Arabidopsis thaliana: one gene and its partner. The protein of the gene in region 1 purifies or fractionates together with the protein of each later gene. This does not show direct contact. Each region holds a gene or a part of one and is shown on either strand. Other genes may lie near its edges.

Region 1 (8,840 bases):
TCCAGTAATAGTCTGTTTCAGTAGTGGAGGGACTAAGTTTTGGTTGAAAGTGAGTGATTCCAGATTTGCGAAATTATCGGTTATACCCTCTGGAGAACTCATAGAAGTGTCGGCTATTCTTAGCCATCGTCCTTGACAAAGTGTCTTGCAGGTCACAAGCTTTGCTGCTTCTGAGTTGGTTCTAGAGCTCCCATTAAAGGGCTGCGACCAAGGGAAATGAGGCAATCCACTATGAGGAGGTTTAGCTGAACGCTGCTGGTCCAAATTGTTCTTAGAGTTATGAGAAGGTTTTGATGCATCTTGGAGCAGAGAGTCTAAATCTTTCGACGGAGGAAGGCCTAATCTTTTCAATACATCGCCAGCGTCGCATAATGGAAAACTAAGTGGAGTGGAAGGAATTTCAGAGTTGATGCAATGATCCTGAGAAGTCAATGAGTGTATCAATTTTCAGTTAAAGCAACAAACCTATTTAAAGTCATGTATACTTGCTTACAGGTCAAATCAGAATATATATATATGAAACTTCTAAATGTTAGATTAAGAAATCTACCTTGGACGATGACGATAGATCTCCATCCAGGGCATTTACTTTATCGATGTTTTCACTATTTGGTAGTGTAGCAGAGATAGAGCTAGGCGGTGAACCCAGAGTTCTGCTGAGACAAGTGTCTAATTCAGTAGAGCTTTGTGATTGAACAGGCCTCTTTGTTGGTAGAATGGACCAAACATTTTTGACTACACTCAATAAAGTGTTGTTAGTATTCTCCGATTTCTTCATCTTGTCTTTGCCCAAAGAAGGACACTCATAAGAGCCTTCAAGAAGACTTTTCAATGAAAAATCTTCAACGAGTTTGGTAACATCATTTATTGCAGGCTTCAGGCCATAGGCACCTGCATGTAAGGTAAGGAAAATTAAGAGGTAAACACAACACTAGAAAAAGATCAGACCATTTCACGTGAGGAGAATATACTGACGAGACCTTGTCATGTCAACAAGGTCGCATTTTAATGAGATAGTAGTGAAATGCACTGGTGCTATAACTCTTACATTGTCCCTTTGGTACCTTAGCGATGCAAAGAATATGTCAGCCAATGAAACCTTTTCAATGTGATGTCAGGGAGGATTCAAAATAAACTAAAAATCATAACAAGTGACCGAGGGGACCTCTAAAGCTACCTCAGAACAGATTTCACTTGTAAATCACTTCAAAGTTCAGACGAAGCAATCTATAGAACTGAAAGTATAAAAGAAAATATAATAACTAGCCAAAGTAAATCGACCAGGTTGAGGAGTCAACTGTTGAATTAGAGTACACTATTGGATACCACAGGACAAGGCTAATTCAGAAGCAATCACATACCGAAAAATGCATTCTCGCCAGTCGCTGAATTGATGGTTGATAAAGTTCTCACCGGAACTTTGGAAATCCTCTTATCACCTCGCTTGCCGTTATAACTGCTCCGTTGCTTCACCACAAACGGTTTATCTGTTTAGCATTCAACAGAAGGTAATAAGTAACCTCACAAGGCAAAATGATACACAGGCACTTTTTCAGAGTGTGAAACATTAAACTTTCACCAACATATTACATATTCTTTTAAAATATATGCTACTGACTAAATGAATGCATAATTTCAGACAAAGAAATCACATGAGAGTTACCTAAGCAACTAGTAGATCCTTGTCCACATATCTCCTTGGTGTCGTTATCTCTCTGTGTCCTCACCGTTTCATCTAAAAGGATCAATTTCGTCCTTCTCGGAGTGCCATTACCACTACTACTTCTAGAAAGTTTTCCTCTTTTCCTAGGAGACTCCGCACTTTCTGGACTAGCAATCGGTGAATAACCATTTTGAGGCTCAGATGAATTGTCAACCCGAAGTTTAGTAAGCCTATCATGTACAAAGTCATGTGAATGCATTAACTTGCGCCATAACGATGAATCAGACGCTCCACTGCTACTTCCTGCTCCTAAATCAAGAACAAGACTAAATCAAAACCCATCCAACCAAACTTGAAAAAGTTTGCAAATTTACCAAGAACAAAAACACAAATTTGGATCTACAACTATAAACTGTACTCAGTGTAAAGAAGAATAATTTCAAAATCCCCAAATGAAATTTGAAGTCAAAGTGAAGAGAAATTAGCTAACCTTTCTTGTTGATTGAAGCACTACTACAACGCTCAATTGAAGAATTAACACCAATCGAGACACGAGCCTTGTCACAGTTGTTATCTGCTTTATTCGACGAAACCCTAACTCCACCACCACACCCTTCAGATCCCATAAGCTTAGCCGGCAACGAAACATCCACAGGACAAGAAATCTTCAAACCATCCATCACAAACCCAAATCGAAAACATCGCAGCCGTGTAAGCTGCGATACGAACTCATCATCTCCTTTTAAACCAAAACCCAGATAGTTCGATCGAGCTTTAGAGAAAGCTAAATCTTAGAAATTTCTGGAGAATAGTGAGCTACAAGAGTGAGATTGATTTGGTTTTTTTTTCCTCGATGAAGAAACGCAATGGTGCGGCTGCGTGAATCGAGGGATTTTAATCTAGGGCAAGAAAATGAAAGAGGAGAAAAAAAAGATGAGTATTTATAGTTTTCGGGAAATTAACTTTGGCCTTGTTTTAGATAAGCCGTCGACGGTGAGATTGTTCCGGTGAGCTCGTCTGTACTGGTAACTCTGACGTGGCTACTACATTATTGCGAAACGGAGTGATTTAGAACCGTTGGATGTTGACTGATGACGGGGTTTTTATGATCTTGTTGGTTAATAGAGTGACACGTATTCAAGTGAAGATTTCACTTGGTTCATGTGGTTTGATATGAGTTTCCAAATATGCCACTGGTGGATTCTCAGGTGTTTGCTTGGAGCGGAGGGTGTTTTTGATTTTGACGAAATTATCCCTTATCTGAATGTTAACGCCGTTAGATTGTGTTGGTTCCGTTAACAGATTTTTGATTTAACTATTTCGGTTCAAGGTCTTCTTGAACAAGTCAATGAAGTTACATTGACAAAAAAGAATAAAACATGAACTTTACAATATTGAAGGGATTGCTTTTGTATTTAAAGTTAGTTTTTACAGGTAGTGATTGTTTGGATATGTGCTCTATTTCTTTTGTTTATTTGTGTTCGTTTTTGTTGAGATTATGGTTGTGTAAGCGTGGTTTAGTATTTGTTTAAAACTATTGAGGCAATCTAATGTTGGGTCCTCTTGGAAGATCATCTTTGTAATCTTTCTCAATACATCAAACTGTTTTGTCAAAGAGTTTTCGGCTATGTTGCTTTTGAATGTGGTATTTATATATTCCGTGTGCTTTAAGGTTCTTCTTTCTTTATATCCGCTTTTTAATTTTTGGTTTTAGAGTTTTTATGTATCCGCCAGTTTTATTTTTAGAAAAAAATTTTTTTTTATTAAATATAACTATACATATCATAGATAAATCATTTAGACGAGAAAAATTAAAAAGACGTTAATTTTATGTACCCGTCAATTTTATTTTTGGAAAAAACAAATTTTCTTATTAAATATAACTATACCTATCATGGATGAATCATTTAGACGAGAAAAATTAAAAAGACGTTTAATTTTAAAAGCATAATTAGTTTCAGATCATTTTAAATTATGGAAATTTAATAGTAAAGTTTCTTAAAAATAATATGTATTACTCAAAATAATAAATTTTCTAAAAACTTTCTTTATCTAAAAAACATGTCTTACCAACAGTTGATCCTAAACCAAAACAATTATGAATCTAAACACTTAGAAGTTTTTTTGTTAACAAAATGGAATAAAATAACAATAATCCAGTTTTGTCTTAAACGTATAAAGCCTTATTGTTTTATATTGGATTAGCAATTGGGCCTGAAAGAAGAAAAACAATCATATGGGCCAATAGGACTTGGATCTATATTGCTTCAACTTATTACAATATTCATGCATGTGTGGAATTTGGCTATGTCATGTGGATGGATAAGCGTTGGCAGAGTCTTCGTTACGTTTTCATAAATTATCTAAACAACTTAATTACACAATATTCTCAGGTATTGGCAAGAAGAAAAAAAGAAGAAGAAGAGAAAAATCATAATATAAATATACTTCTGGACACGTTGAAGAGACATATTTGATGACTAGTCTAAGCAAGATTCCACAAAAATGAAGCATCGATTTTGATCAAATTATTCGGACTTCAAAATATGAAAATAGTATAGAAATATTTTCTTTATGTAATATTCAAGCCGCATTTTGACAAAAATAATTAATAAAAAAAATGTAAGAGTATCCCCATCTTTAGTTTTTAAAATAATAGAAAAAATAAATTTGGTCAAAAGACAAAGCCGTCCCTTCCGGTTCACACGAGCCGCACGTGTGCTTTCCTTTTTTCTCCTTCCCCGTTCTCTAGCCGATTCTCTCTGTCTAGGGCTCCTCCGTCTTCTTCTTCTCATACCTTCACATACCACAAAACCTCTCTTCTCTCTCTATTGATTCTCTACGAAGAGGAAAGTGATTTTGAACCATCTTGATCGGAAACGGCGTTTCGAAACTGGAGGTCGAAGACGAAAAAAACTCTTATCTCATCGCTCCGGTGTACCGAATTCGAGAGGTTTTTGTTAGGTTTCGTAGTGATTGATTGATTTTGATGGAAGATAGTGTGGTGGATGATGTTATAAAGAGGTTACTAGGAGCGAAAAACGGGAAGACGACGAAGCAGGTTCAGTTGACGGAGGCTGAGATTAAACATCTTTGTTCTACCGCTAAGCAGATCTTTCTCACTCAACCTAATCTTCTTGAACTCGAGGCTCCTATTAAGATTTGTGGTATTCATTCATCAATTTTGTTCTCTCCTCTTCAAATTTTCTTTTCTACGAGGATTTGCGTAGATTATGTTTGATTATCCATAGAACTAGAGATTGATTAGCTAACCAGAGTTGTTTAAATTTAGATAAATTCGTATGAATGATATTTGTAGAATTGCATATGAATCTGTTGTTTACTTGATCAGTTATCATTAGTGAGATACTAAAAGAAGTTAGAAATGATCATTTGTCTCCATATCAGAGATTCAGAGCTGATAGTGTATTGTTCTGTGCATCTTGTGTATCATTTTGATGTATAATGGTATCAGAAAGTTGCTAATGTGTTTACTAATACATAAGTTTGTTCTGCTTCATTTTATAGCAACCAGTAGTAGCATATGCTTGTGTGGCTTGTGTTTCTAGTGAAATAGCACTTCTATAATGGGGGTTGGTTTCATGTTTTTAATAGGAGATACTCATGGTCAGTTCTCAGATCTTTTGAGATTGTTCGAGTATGGTGGCTACCCACCAGCTGCAAACTATTTGTTTCTTGGGGATTATGTAGATCGTGGAAAGCAGAGTGTAGAGACCATATGCCTTCTTCTTGCCTACAAGATCAAATACAAAGAGAATTTCTTTCTTCTACGTGGGAACCATGAGTGTGCTTCTATAAACCGTATATACGGATTCTATGACGAGTGCAAGAAGAGATATAGCGTTCGAGTGTGGAAGATATTTACTGACTGCTTTAATTGTCTACCTGTTGCTGCTCTTATTGATGAAAAGATCCTCTGTATGCATGGTGGGCTATCGCCTGAGTTGAAGCACTTGGATGAGATCAGGAACATTCCTCGTCCTGCTGACATTCCTGATCATGGACTACTGTGTGATCTGTTGTGGTCTGATCCTGACAAAGACATTGAAGGATGGGGAGAGAATGACAGGGGTGTCTCGTACACTTTTGGGGCTGATAAAGTCGAGGAGTTTCTTCAAACGCATGACCTTGACTTAATTTGTAGAGCTCATCAGGTAATATTTTGCTTTAGACATGTATCTGTGGTACGTCTCTTTTGTTTACTTGTCATCATAGGACCTACAAATAATGGACGAATACTTATGATTTATCTCTTTTAACCTCATTGAAGTTGATTGTTTTGCCCTTTAGGTTGTGGAAGACGGGTATGAATTCTTTGCAAATAGACAGCTAGTAACGATATTCTCGGCCCCAAACTACTGCGGAGAGTTTGATAACGCAGGAGCAATGATGAGTGTGGATGATTCCTTGACGTGCTCATTTCAGATCCTTAAAGCATCTGAGAAGAAAGGAAACTTCGGGTTTGGCAAAAATGCAGGAAGGCGAGGAACCCCGCCTCGCAAGGTGAGAATCTTTAAAGCATCGAATGATACAGTTACATACTGAGTTCTATTAGGGCAGGCCTTCTTAGTCATCTCATTGTTTTGTTTTCTCTTTTAGGGTGGTGGAAAAGGCTGAAGACAAATCCCATAAACTCTGTTTTGTGTATTCCATGTTTCTTGGTTCAAGACACTTGCTTGATCAGCTGAACTTATCAAACTGTCTTCTTCTTCTTCTTCCTCTGCTCTGGATCACTTTGGCAAGGGGTACTTCTGTCTTTTCCCTTGACTACTCTGGATCACTTGGTGTCTTTGACCTCTGTGAATCTGAGATATTATTCTCTGTGAGATACACTTTATGTCGTTTTTTGTTAAAACATTTAAATGAAAATCATAATGTTCCTCGTCACTTGGAAAAAAACGGCACGGTGTTTCGTTTGGAAACTTAACAATGAATGATAGGTTAATGATTCACAAAACTGATGTAGTGGCTGTTCCATTTGAGTTTTACTTCTTCTTCACGCTTACAAGCTTAGACGACTTATGATTTCCTACTACATACTTGTTTTGCCATTGATTCTTAAGAAACAGAGAACTCTAAGCTAGGTCAGTTTCTACAAGATCCATTGATACTTGTTTAGACTCTCGTAATATCCCCTGCATTAAAAACCCAAGTTCTCTATATAGACTATACACACACACACATGTCAGAAGAAATAAACGGAAAAGTTAAAAAGATGATAGCTCGACGATTCGCAATAGTACGTTACTTTCGTTCAAGGATGAATCCAAAGATGACTATACAAAAACTTTGCACATCGTCTAAAACAGCAGATCTTTCTCTCCGAAAGATGGATCCGAACCGAAGAACGCAAAAATTCAGCAAACCACAAGTCATTGCAAGTCCCTCTCTGCGAGAAGCAATGAAGAAGCGAAACGACGATTTGGTCCTTACGGGTAAAGTAATAGCTTCAGAAGCTAGCTAACTTCATCTTCTCTCCGGCATCAATCAACTCCGCCAACACAATGATGGGGTCTCATCAAAGACCTTCTTCCTCCTGAATGGCTGAATCCGTAAACAGTGAAACAATTGAGGTTTATGGAAACGCATTGTATTTCAAAGGAGCTTGGGCTGAACCATTCGATAAGTGGTATACAGAAAAGAAAGAGTTCCACCTACTCGATGGTGCGTCAGTGTTTGTGACATTTGTGAGAAGCAAATGGGACCAATAAGTTGGGGGTTACAATGGTTCCAAGGTCCTCAGGCTTCCATACCGACAAAGCGATGATGATATCAATCGTGAATACTCAAAATGTATTTCTATCTGCCCGACAAGAAATATGGATTGGATATGAGATAGAATTTGGATATAAGTAAAGAATTAACAACAACAAAATCTATAAATATTAAAATATTCTTAAATTAAGAGATGCTATATCAGAAACTAATATTATATTTTAGTTAAAATCTATTTAAATTTTAAAGTAAACTATATATTGGATACAATATAAGGTGGTGCTAAAGTCAATATTAATTAATTTTAAGTTTTTACCAAAAACATAACACATAATCATTGTAATATCTATTATGAATATTGAATAATCATACTCTAGAAACTTCACTTAAATTTTATTTATAATTAAATAACAAAATTCCTATATATAAAAGATAAGATATTTAAATTAAAATTTCATTATAAAGCCTGAAGGATCCTAATCATGATTATCATAAAAGTGTATATATGATTAAAAAAGTTTAGTTCTCCTAACAGATATCAGATTATTATATGGTATGTATATACTTTTTTTTTTCCCCTAATTCGAAGATGCACCAAGTTCTATCTTAATTAGATACTAGGCATCTTATATTTTATATATATATTTGTGTGCTCAGAACAAAAATTAAAAGGAAGAACCAAAAACTTAGCACATCAGAAATCGCAGAGCCCTTCTCTAGCACTCAACACGAAGAAAAAGCAAAAGATGGATTCTTTGCAAGAACTTCTTGACAAGAAGCAATACGACGAAGAAGCAAAACGTCCATGTCAAGAAGCGATGAAGAAGCAAAACGACGTTGCTCTTTTCCTTGCGGGGGAAGTAATCTCTGCCGCAGACAAAAACTCTAACGTCGTCTTCTCTCCTGCATCTATCAACTCCGTTCTCACCATGGCCGCTGCTACCTCCGACAGTGAAGCACTAAAATCTTGCATCCTCTCCTTCCTTAGGTCTTCTTCCACCGACGAGCTCAACGACATCTTCCGCGAAATAGCTTCCGTCGTCCTCGTCGACGGAAGCAAAACAGGTGGCCCCAAAATCACGGTGGTTAATGGAGTGTGGAGAGAGCAATCACTTCCGTGTAGTCCCGAGTCGAAAGATCTCTTTGAGAATTTCTACAAGTCTGCTTTCGCTCAAGTTGATTTCCGATCCAAGGTCAGTTTCTGATTTCGAATTTGCTTTGATTAAATTAGGGCAAGAGATTGTGTGAAACGAGTGCTTAGAGAAACTACATATCGTATTCAATGTTTTGGTTTGTTGTTTTGAAGTTTGAAGAAGTGCGTGAGGAGGTGAATTCTTGGGCATTACGTCACACCAATGGTATCATCAAAGATCTTCTACCTCCTGGATCCGTTACAAGCGAAACCTTGTGGATTTATGGAAACGCATTGTACTTCAAAGGA
Region 2 (5,348 bases), on another chromosome or scaffold:
GACCCTGAAGCTCATTGTACTTAACGTCTTCCCCTTTCCAGAAAAATCAACCAAACCCATTTCAGTTTCCCCGGAAAGTTTTTGTCTTTCAATCACCATTAGAATTCAGCTGCAACACAAGTGTTTGCAACAGAGAGAATCATGGAGAGAGCTATGGAAAGACAAAAGATATTGCTTCGTCATCTCAATCCAGTTTCTTCTTCTAATTCTTCTCTTAAACATGAACCTTCTCTTCTGTCTGTAAGTTTAGTTGTCTTAATCCGTGAGTCTTAATTAGACATTGAAATTGTTTGTGGAAGCTGATGATCTTTAACTCTGTTTTATTATGTGACTCACTTGTGTTTTTGTTAATTTTAGCCTGTGAATTGTGTTTCTGAAGTTTCCCCAATGGCTGCTTTTGGAGATGACATTGTGATTGTAGCGTAAGTATACTCATTGAGTTTGCTTCACTTTCACTTTCTTTAGTTTTCTTTGTTTCTTGATTCTTCTTCTTCTTCAGGGCATATCGTACCGCCATTTGCAAAGCGAGACGTGGAGGTTTCAAAGACACTCTTCCTGATGATCTTCTTGCTTCTGTTCTTAAGGTAAGTCATCAATTAAACCTTGTGCATGCATGGAGTAGTAGTATCAATGATTTCTTATGTTTCATGGTTTGTTCTGATTAGGCTGTAGTGGAAAGAACATCTTTGGATCCAAGTGAAGTTGGTGATATCGTTGTTGGTACCGTGATAGCGCCTGGTTCTCAGAGAGCAATGGAGTGTAGAGTTGCAGCTTATTTTGCTGGTTTTCCTGGTACTAAATCTCATTCAAGAATCAAGATAAACTTAATATCTCACAAGTTGTTGATATGTTTCTTCATCCTTCTCTTTTACGAGCTAGACTCCGTGCCAGTTAGAACTGTCAATAGACAATGCTCATCAGGACTACAAGCAGTTGCTGATGTTGCTGCTTCCATTAGAGCTGGTTATTACGACATTGGTAAGATGCTGCTGCATCAGTTTTTTGTAGTCTCTAGCTGCTTGTATAGGCCATGGGATTGATTCTCTCAACTTTGTGAATTGCATAGGTATTGGTGCTGGAGTGGAATCAATGTCAACTGATCATATTCCTGGAGGCGGCTTTCATGGCTCTAATCCAAGAGTAAGCTATCACAATGAGTGTATAAATTTACTCAACAAGAAGAGTTTTGTGATGATCTTGTAAACTCTACATGGGAATAGGCACAGGATTTCCCAAAAGCCCGTGATTGTTTGCTTCCAATGGGAATTACTTCTGAAAACGTTGCAGAAAGGTTCGGTGTCACAAGAGAAGAGCAAGATATGGCTGCGGTTAGTTAGTTATTCTCTTCACTTTTTTCCTCTCTAGTTCATATAAGTACTGATTCAGTAATAATCAGGTGGAGTCTCACAAACGCGCTGCAGCTGCAATCGCGTCTGGTAAACTCAAGGATGAAATCATTCCTGTTGCTACTAAGGTAAAACAAGAACCTCCCAAACTTCCTTTAAAGCCCTTTTGGTAGAGCTTTCTCAGTAAATGATATTGTTCTTGACAGATTGTGGACCCTGAGACTAAAGCAGAGAAGGCAATCGTCGTATCTGTTGATGACGGTGTACGTCCAAACTCAAACATGGCAGATTTGGCAAAGCTGAAGACTGTCTTTAAACAGAACGGTTCCACCACAGCTGGTTAGAAACAACTCTCTTAACTATCACTGGCATAAGTGAGATCATAGATTGAAGCATTTAAGTATATGTGTTTTGTGTAGGCAATGCTAGTCAGATCAGTGATGGTGCTGGAGCAGTACTGCTAATGAAGAGAAGTTTGGCTATGAAGAAGGGACTTCCCATTCTTGGAGTATTCAGGTAAAATGAATATACAACATTTTGCCAGTTCAAGAAACCGAGCAAATCTGATTCCGGAACAATGCAGGAGTTTTGCTGTTACTGGTGTGGAACCATCTGTAATGGGTATTGGTCCAGCTGTTGCCATTCCCGCTGCAACTAAGCTCGCAGGGCTCAACGTCAGCGATATTGATCTATTCGAGATCAATGAGGTAACAAAATATTTCACATTGGTTTTTTTCCTGTTTCGGAATAATACATACATATAAATCTTTATTGTTGCATTGTTAAACAGGCATTTGCATCTCAGTATGTGTACTCTTGCAAGAAGTTAGAGCTGGATATGGAAAAGGTCAATGTTAATGGAGGAGCCATTGCTATTGGCCATCCCCTGGGTGCTACAGGTTACTACTTACCAAGCTTGTCGTAACTAAATAAAATGCAACATTTGTTACAGGCTAATAGAGTTCTTTTCTATATGTTCAGGAGCTCGATGTGTTGCGACATTGTTGCACGAGATGAAGCGGAGAGGAAAAGATTGCCGCTTTGGAGTAATCTCAATGTGCATAGGTATATATATAAGATTTTTTTTCAGATTGAATTGGATCAATGATTACCTATGTTAATGGTATATGTAAAATGCGAACGTCACAGGCACTGGAATGGGAGCTGCAGCTGTTTTTGAGAGGGGAGACTCTGTTGATAACTTGTCCAACGCTCGTGTGGCTAACGGGGATAGTCATTAGAACATCGAAGAGAGCTTGAATAAGTAGAAGTAATGATGCATTGAGTCTAATAAATATGATGCTTTAGCTCTTTCACATTGCTGAACAATGAAAACTTTTGTCATTCTGAGTTTAAAATCAACTACTTTTCTCTGAACAAAGTGTTAAATCTAAAACCAAAAGTTACATCCTTCCTCACACAAGTCTGAAAACACCAATCAAATCTCGCAAATCTCATTCTCCATCTTCGGGAGACCCACCTGGCACCAGCTGCATCACAAACATTTTCAACACCAGTTTCTTAGCAATTTGACTATTCAAATGACCAACTGTTTATATCAAGATACTTGAAAATTCATCACAAGGAAGTTTATACAACGTATGGCTATGAGTAACCACAAGTGTTTTTTTACTTACAATGGCGATGTTGTTGCCATTGAGTAGAATCTGATCAAGCTTTGTGACCCGTCTTCCTTCTGCCGTAATCTCACTACACAACGATGCTTAGATAAATTAGTAACACACTCTAGTTACAATTCAATCAAGAATTTGTTACAATCAAAACTTGAATCTATGAGATCCTAACTCCAAAGCAACACGGGTTTAAGCATCAATTAACTAATCCTCACACAACCACAAACAACTCAAGTCACCGAAACCACATATGACCCCGCTGAAATAGACTCTATGCATACACAATAAATGTCATTAATCAGCAAATGAATGAACTGTGATGGACATTCACAAATCAGTATTGAGATCAATTACCCAAAAACAAAATCCAAAAGGCTAAGTTCTGCATAATCACATCCATGGTTCAATGTCTATGATTCACCTCCTAAAGTGTAATAGATCAAGCAACATTCCAATTAAACAAGATATGAAGCAATAATCGAAACCCTAAAATCAGACTTACTATTCGGTGACATCTTCAAGAACCATGTTGACATAAACATCGAATCCTTTGAGAATACCAACGAGCTCCTTATCTCCTTTCATTATCACCCAAATCTTAGACCCTATACACCTATCGATTAGCTCTGCACAAACAAACCAAATCGCTCAAAAATTGAAAACCAAAAAATCGCAGATCTAGTTCGATTTTCTTACATATAAGAAGGTGGAAAGTGAGAGATGTGAAGAAAAAATTGCATACCTGAAGGAAGAAGCTGTGAAGGATTGTTCGCCATGACGAAGAACAGTGAGGCAAGTGAAGGGTTTTTGAATTTTCTCTGATTTTTCTTGCTCCGAAGCTTTTTCTGATTTTTCGATTTTTAGGGTATTAATGTTTTACTTTTAGGAAATTTACAAGAGAACCCTCAAACTATCTTTTTGTTTCAAGATTGACTTTTAACTATGGAAAACTTAATATATAAACCTTCAATCTAATTAGAATATTAAGGATAAATAATCACGTCTCAAATCCCTACATTACTAGTACGGAAGTACCTTTCAAATAGTAATATTGGCTTTTGTAAGATATTATGTTACAATGTCATTGGAAAAAACTGTAACCACCTAATTCACTTTACTTTAGTTATAAGGTCAATTTACTTTCGAATTTAATTATGCTAATCTTGAATCATGGATCCATTATACGGATCTATGAAATTTTCTTGTTTCTTCCAAACATAGGTCTACTGAGATTTTATTATTTCTTTGAACGATTGATCTGTAGTAGAGTTATCAAAATGGACGAGTGGCCCGTGTCCAACGCCTAATGGACCGGGCATGGACAAGCCCATTATGAAGCAGGCATTAATGGACATGGGCGTTAACGGACATGGGCATCAGCGGACTGGACGTGATGGACATGGGCGGCCCAATGGTCAAAAAATATTAGGTTTAAGTGTTCGGGCAAAAATAAATTTGGGGAAAAAACATTTCCCCGACGCTTATTTGGCGATTTCTTCTTTCCGGCGATTTCTCCGGCGAGTTCCTTCAACATCTCAACTCCATCACATCATGGATCCTCCTGAGATTCCTAATCCAGTTCAAGTAAGCAAATTCTCGTCATTTTTACTCAATTCGATCTGGGTTTTTGATTACTCAATTCGAAATGATTTTTTGTTACTGTTTTTTGCTTATTGAGAGTGATTTTGACATGGGTCTCTTTCGATTTCTGTTACTATTGTTTGATATAGTGTTCATTGTCTGCATTATGCATAGTATGAACTATGAAGCTTGGTCCTTTGACACCGTGTATTCATGAAACTGCAAATATCAAAAGCTTAGCTCACTAATATGAGTTACTTAAACAGAAAAAAGAATTGGTAGTAAGCACAAAATGGAATTCTACACATCTAATGCTCTCTAGAGCGATTATTTACAAAGAAACATTCAAGCATCTTGCTGAAGCAAATACTATTGTGTTAAAATTTGGTTTTGTTATGCCTATTGGACAACCCATTTGGACATGGACATTAATGGGCACGGGCGTTAATGGACATGTGCCTTAGTGGACATGAACACTATTTGTCCAATATCGAAATGGACATTATTGGACTGGGCTAATGGACATGGACAGCCCGCTGTGACAGCTCTAATCTGTAGCAATCCATGTGCAAAGCTACATCCAAGATTAGCAAAATTAATTGTTAAATACACATTACCAGAAGAATTGAAAAGAAAGTATATAGTTAAGATACCATTTGTATCATTAGATATTCAATCTCGTTGTTGTAGTCATATACTTGGAAGCTTAGAGGATCGAAAAACAAGGTGCAACACATGTTAATGAGGATAGGAACTTATCAAAGATCCTTGCAAGAAGGTATGGAAG

What was found. The genes of interacting proteins can lie anywhere in the genome.
Region 2: the proteins of TOPP3 (region 1) and SAD1 fractionate together in Arabidopsis thaliana (co-fractionation; one large-scale study listed by BioGRID). This does not show direct contact.

What each region holds. Positions count from the first base shown.
Region 1 is NC_003070.9:23,756,087-23,764,926, reverse strand, and holds TOPP3 (type one serine/threonine protein phosphatase 3), read left to right. Parts: upstream 1-4,263; 5' UTR 4,264-4,652; coding exon 4,653-4,830; intron 4,831-5,278; coding exon 5,279-5,838; intron 5,839-5,974; coding exon 5,975-6,187; intron 6,188-6,283; coding exon 6,284-6,301; 3' UTR 6,302-6,686; downstream 6,687-8,840. Other genes in the region: AT1G64050 (uncharacterized protein), read right to left, coding at 1-420, 551-891, 1,362-1,487, 1,664-1,972, 2,154-2,343.
Region 2 is NC_003076.8:19,811,815-19,817,162, reverse strand, and holds SAD1 (Small nuclear ribonucleoprotein family protein), read right to left. Parts: upstream 3,818-5,348; 5' UTR 3,757-3,817; coding exon 3,723-3,756; intron 3,607-3,722; coding exon 3,483-3,606; intron 3,057-3,482; coding exon 2,984-3,056; intron 2,837-2,983; coding exon 2,801-2,836; 3' UTR 2,609-2,800; downstream 1-2,608. Other genes in the region: KAT5 (peroxisomal 3-keto-acyl-CoA thiolase 2), read left to right, coding at 142-240, 358-422, 500-584, 666-792, 880-978, 1,067-1,140, 1,221-1,328, 1,397-1,474 and 6 more; AT5G48860 (uncharacterized protein), read left to right, coding at 4,298-4,564, 5,252-5,348. UniProt on the Arabidopsis thaliana protein: Component of LSM protein complexes, which are involved in RNA processing. Component of the cytoplasmic LSM1-LSM7 complex which is involved in mRNA degradation by promoting decapping and leading to accurate 5'-3' mRNA decay.